2 linked regions of the Yarrowia lipolytica genome follow. The protein of the gene in region 2 interacts with the protein of the main gene of each other region in a pairwise test. Links are inferred from orthologs where the notes say so. Each region holds a gene or a part of one and is shown on either strand. Other genes may lie near its edges.

Region 1 (2,307 bases), about 370 kb from region 2:
GAGATCCAATTGTGAACACGGGTTAGTCCATTGTAACCAGTATAAAAAGATAACTTGACAAGTGCGGACTTCTTGTAGAGAGTGACTGTCGGACACTCTACTGCCAGCGAATTGTGTGCTCCACTAAATGTGAGAATGCTTCTTTCTTTGCTTATTGGAGCGTGAGAAGTTGTATCGCAAACCTGGAATATGTCCATTTCTTGGTCCACAATGAAACAGAAGGTTAGAGTGTGTACAGTGTGTACCTACTGTAGCCAGTTTGTTCTCCTCAATGAAGATATATCTACATGCTGTAATTGTACGCCTTTAAGCCCTGTCCACTCTACCATCGCTTACGACCTCCTTTCTGCGCCTAACAACTATCTGTACGTGAATATTAAATATATGTCTATGTCTTTTATGGATGGATCTCTAGTATCCGTATACTGCTTGCTAGATCCTTGGTGATGTTCTATAGGGAAACCATTTGGAGCCAGATAGCTATGGTCGGAGACTCGGGTTTAAACAAACCCAGCCCACTCGTCCTCCTCGTCCTCCTCGTCCTCCTCGCCAGCGCCCTCGAGCTCCTCGGCAACACCCCACTCGATGAGCAGAGGGTTCTCGAGCACGTCCTCCACACATCGCTTCTGAACGACCGAGTTTTTGGTCTCCTCGGACAGAGTCTCGACTGCCTCGAGAAGCTCGGAAACGGGAACGTCGGCAAACAGCTCCTTGACCAGCTCGGCCTCCTCTTCCTCGTTCTCGGCCTCCTTCTTGTCCTTGAGCACCACCTTGGCCAGCTCTTCTAGATAGATTTCCAGCACGTGGTACCGAATACTGTCGGGGATCTTGGGGTTTTCGGGGTTGAGAGGGATCTTGCTCATCACCTCATTGTGTCGCTCGATCCAGGTCTCGTCCCAGTCCTCCTTGGCAAGTCGCTGGAAGGCGAAGCCCACGTACCGTCTAAGCAGCAGGTAAAACTTGTCGATTCGGTGCTTGTCTAGCGCGAGCCACTCGGCGCTCATAATCTTCCAGAAAGAAGCCAGGAATGTGAAGTAGTTGGTCTCGTGGACAACCAGCAGCAGAGAAGCCATGTCGTCGGCCAGACGCTGCTGTGTTCGAGGTCGGTCGCTGAACCACATGGAGAAGAACAGACCCTTCCACAGCTTAAGCAGTTCGAGCTCACCAAAGGCCTTGGGGGTTCCCAGGAACCGCTTGAGCGAGTTGAGAGTCTCGTCTCGAGTGGGTCGGTCATTGGCAGCCAGCTTCTTGATAAACGGGTAAGCATCGGGGCTTCCGAGCTGGATATCATCCGCGGAGTTGTCTTCCTTCTTAGAGTAGGGCTTATCTGCCTTGATGGCGGCCTTCTTGGACCCCTTTTTCACTTTGCCAGCAGCCATTGTAGTTGTAGTGTCTTGTGGTGGTTTGGATTGTATGCACCTCTATATTTTTTCAATCACTGCAGCTCGAAATTTTTTAGTGCTGCTTGAGAGAAGCATGAAAAAGGCAAAGTTGCAGGCGACCTCAGTTCGAGTCCCATGGTGGTAGCAGTAAATCACAGCAATAGAGCGGGTATCGAAGGAACGACAAAGTCCTTGCAACACTAGAAGCCTCAAAAAGTGTTATAAATATTAATAGGCCAACTCTTCCTATTTCTCGAGACTATACTACCCCCTTACCCTCAACTAAACCTCAACTAAACCACAACTAAAGTCCCAACTAACCTGTTGTCCCCTATCACTCACCCATTTTTAAAACTCTAAAAATACAACAAACGGTGTCCCCACAAAATCCCCCCAAAAAGGCGAAAAAAGCTCAACGGCATGGGAGCCTACACTGCTACAATATCGTCGCTACCGTGGTACTAGCCAAAGAATCAACCGCGTAGGAGGAGCGAACAGACCGATCTGCCCACTCGCTCTCACGTGACCCCATCCACGTGACTGCCCTCACTCAAGCCAACATCTGGGGCCCGCGTATTCCCCGAATCTCACATAACCTCGCCCAGCAGTATGTACGGTTCGGATATCGACGCGCATCTCCTGCCCTAACCCAGATGCCCAATGCAGGCTCCCCCACAAAACCATCTATTGCCGGGACCTAAAAAGTGTAGTGGGTTATAAGCCAGCTGAGACCCCGCGACATCTTACGACACTCTTCCACTGACCACGTCGACATTTGTGTGAATACAACTAGACCCGTCATGCTTCGAGCCGTTTCCAACCACGCCTGTTTGAGACAGGCTCTTTCCAGTACTCGGACTCTGAGAACTGGTCTCCAAAAACATGTCCATAAGACCCAGTTTGTGTCTGTGCGACACGTGTCGAC
Region 2 (3,955 bases):
ATGAGTATCGCCGAGTTGTCGAAAGATGAGATAGAACGAGATAGTCGGAAATTACAGCACCGGTGACGTAGCAAAAGATGATTCGCTCATCATTGGGGAATTGTCTTCATCGTGTCTTCTGTGTCTGAGTGTTGGTAACTGGGTGTGTTGTGCAATGACCGTACTCCACCACCATGTCGTTTGTCCGTGTTGTCCATACTATCTGTATTTGTGTCTCTGTGTCTCGTCGGTTTGTGTCTGCGTCTATGCCCGTGTCTGTATCTGTGTCTGTGTCCGTGTCTGTGTGTGCCTCCGTATCGTGGTGTCCACCGTGTATCGTATACCATGTCGTTTGCTGATGACAGATTATATATTGGGATAACACTACACACCTTGGTGGACTTCTAGGTTTAGGAAGCACCGTGGTGGTTATTGGATGTAAAATGGATGGAGCAACGAGGCGATAACAAGTACAGGACGGTTACGGGGGACGAGAGTGGTTTGAATGATTTCTGGGAATCCTCTCACATGGTATGGTTTGATAGGTTTCTTCAAAAAAACTAGCAACCCCAATATATTATGTTACTCTTGAGTAGGTGTGCTACAGGTTGTGGTCTAGTACAAGTACAGTAGTTGACTTTGTTGGAAGTTTAGTTAAGAGAACTGCCTGTTGGGGTTGTCTAACGGATGCAAGCAGTCCATGGTAATTAGACGTATATTTACATGTCTCTGACAGTTGTAGAAATATATTGAACAAAAAAATAAAAGGAAATCAAGCTGTTTTTACCCCTACAACAAACTAATACCAACACCCCCATGTTGTTAAATTTAGTTAAAACCTCAACTAAAGTTCACACTCCCAAACCAACCCACGCTAGAAAAATCCTGACCCACATACAGCAAAAGTCGCGTGGGCGCAGTCCATACCGCCGGTACTGGTGTCTTCGTGAAAAGGGAAGCCAAAAAAAATATATTTGCCTTCGACCAGATTTGAACTGATGATCTCAGCATTACTAGTGCTGCGCCTTACCACTTGGCCACGAAGGCGGTTTTTAGCGTTTCGAAATCTGTAGCCTGCACCCCCCGGACGTGGAGTTACAGGTTATGAGTAGAAAATAAGACGTAAATGTGATTCCTGATGGGTCTTATAAACACATATATATGTCAACAGCTGTTTTAACGTGTATAAGATTCCATATCACGTGTCTAAGTTGTCTTCATCAACATTTCGATTAAACTTTCTGCCCGCATCAACTCTAAAAAAATTCGAGATGAAATTTCAAATTGAGCATAAGCACATCTCACTACAAGACAATCACTATGGGTAAGGCATCAAAGGCGACGAAAAAGTTCCAAAACAAGCATCTGAAGAAAACCATAGATAAGCGACGTGTGGACCAGGCTGCCAAGGCCAAGGCCGTCAAGGGTCGACGTCCTGGAGCTAGCGTCTCTGCCGAAGACAAGGTCGAGAAGGCTGCTCCTTCGTTTTTCGAAGACATGTCTGTGGGCGACTTTATGAAGGGTGGATTTGAGGTTCCCGAAAAGAAGGGCAAGGCCGCTGAGGAGGACGAGGACGAGGAGGAACTTGAAGACGAGGAAGACGAGGACGAGCAGGATCAGATTGAAGCTGACGACGACTCTGAAGGAGAGGCCTTCTCTGACGAGGACGAGGCCCCCGAGATGGACGACCCCGAGTTTCTCAAATACCTAAACGACGAGGAGAACGTGGAGGAGGACGCCAACGCCGAGGAGGAGGACAAGGAGGAGGTGACACTGGCCATGGTCAAGAAGTGGGCATCTGCCATGGAGAAGACTCAATCTACCGACGCTGCTAGAAACGCTCTGCGGGCTGCTAAGGCTGCTCTAGCTTCTCAGGAGGATGAGAATGCTACTGCCAACTTCAAATACGTTATCAACGACATCAAGGTGGTCACCAAGCTATTTGATGTGGTCAACAGGTGGGTGCCTGTGGTTCTGACCAAGCAGCTGCCTCTCAAGCAGTCCAAGAAGGGTACCAGCGTTGTCGACGAGGAATCCGCCACCAACAACAAGTCTGCCACAGCTATCATCAAGTCGTATGGAGATGTCCTGCAGCAGTCTTTGAGCACCACCACTGGAGCCGAGGAGACTATCCGGTCCATTGCTGCACTCAAAAAGGTCATGCCCTACATGCTGAGTCATCGAAAGCTCACTAAGAACCTCATCGCCTCCGTGTGCTACATCTGGGGTACCAGCTCTGCCATTTCTGCCCGAGAGGCTGCCTTTGCTCTGCTAATTACTGAGTCCAAGGAGCACTCCGGTACCTATGAGGCCATTCTGAAGGCCGCCTACGGACAGTTTGTCAACTCGTGCAAAAACACCTCGTTCCACACCATGGGCACCATCAACTTCATGAAGAATACCGCCGCCATGTTGTACGCTGTCAACGAGCAGCAGGCTTATCCTATTGCCTTTGACGCCATCCGACAGCTGGCCATCCACCTGCGAGGCTCTCTGACCAATAAGACTGCCTCCAAACACGCCTACAAGGCCGTCTACAACTGGCAGTTTGTGCATTCTCTGGACTACTGGTCCCGAGTGGTTGCCGATACCTGTGACGCCGAGAACGAGGCCACTAAGGGCTCTCAGTCCCCTCTTCGACCTCTGCTATACCCTCTGGTCCAGGTCACTCTTGGAACGATCCGATTAATCCCCTCGGTCCAGTTCTTCCCTCTGCGATTCTACCTGATCAGATCTCTGCTCCGAATCTCCCAGCGAACTGGAGTTTACATCCCTTTGCTGCCTCTTCTCACAGAGCTGCTTAACTCGTCGGTCATGACCAAGCCCCCCAAGTCTTCGGCTCTCAAGCCCCTGGACTTTGACTACGCCATCCGAGCCAACAAGGGCTATCTGGGCTCTCGAGTCTACCAGGAGGGTGTGTGCGACCAGATTGTGGAGCTGGTGTCCGAGTTCTTTGTGCTTTACTGCAAGTCAGTGGCCTTCCCCGAGCTTGCCATTCCAGCTGTAATCACTCTCAAGCGGTTTACCAAACGGTCCAACATCTCCAAGTTCAACCGCCAGCTGCTGACTCTGCTGGATAAGATCGACGCCAACGCCAAGTTTATTGAGCAGAAGCGAGCCAACATTGACTTTGGCCCCACCAACCGAGACCAGGTCAACAACTTCCTCAAGGACCTGGACTGGCAGAAGACCCCTCTGGGTTCCTATGTGGTGGTGCAGCGACAGGTGCGAGCCGAGAAGCTTGCCATTCTTCGAGAATCGCAAGAACAGGACGCTAACGACGGAAACGAGTCCGACCAGGTCGAGCTGGCCGACTTCAAGGACGAGCCCGAACAGCTCAGTGAGAGCGAGGAGGAGGATGAGGACGAGGAGATGGAGTAACCTAGTAGACTATAGACAATGCAATATGAATGAAATCAAGAATACGCGAAGTAGATCCAAAGTGTGTTATGTATGTACACTGCTAGCCAAGATGCCATGGGATAACCACGAGAAAATTTGGCATTAGTAGGTGTACAATACTGTGTTCATCACATCCATACTACAAGTGCAATTATCAAGGAGCTAAAGACAATACCTGTAGTCAGATGGCTGTTCATCAGCAGACAGAGCTAGCTACAGGATGAACAACAAAGATTTTTCAGTACACCTGTTTTCTATGGAATCCTAGTAGATCTCCTGTGCTTGAATCGTCTCTTCTCTTAGTCTGGGCTTCTACAGTAGAATCAACCATTTTCCAACAAACAAATTCAAGTAAATACTTAGAGAGTCGAGCTCCCCAGGTTCGAACCTCTCATGAAGAAAAAAAAAAAAAAAAAAAAAAAAAAAAAAAAAAAAAAACTCATGTGTCATTTGCAAACTGTGTTGGAAATGAAATTAAAAGAATAAATATCGCTTAGATACAGGATGTGACACACATTTTTTCCTCGGTCTTTAGCTTTCCAAATCACCTCTGACTGACTGATATTGTCCAGCG

Evidence for each region. The genes of interacting proteins can lie anywhere in the genome.
Region 1: the proteins of YALI1_D14893g (region 2) and YALI1_D11151g interact in binary tests that used the Saccharomyces cerevisiae proteins (3 or more experiments, as listed by UniProt). The link is inferred for Yarrowia lipolytica from reciprocal best matches to the Saccharomyces cerevisiae genes NOC2 and RRP1.

What each region holds. Positions count from the first base shown.
Region 1 is NC_090773.1:1,113,794-1,116,100, forward strand, and holds YALI1_D11151g (uncharacterized protein), read right to left. Parts: upstream 1,380-2,307; coding exon 501-1,379; downstream 1-500. Other genes in the region: YALI1_D11159g (uncharacterized protein), read left to right, coding at 2,183-2,307. UniProt on the Saccharomyces cerevisiae protein: Required for 27S rRNA processing to 25S and 5.8S.
Region 2 is NC_090773.1:1,486,705-1,490,659, reverse strand, and holds YALI1_D14893g (uncharacterized protein), read left to right. Parts: upstream 1-1,299; coding exon 1,300-3,360; downstream 3,361-3,955. UniProt on the Saccharomyces cerevisiae protein: Involved in the intranuclear transport of ribosomal precursors.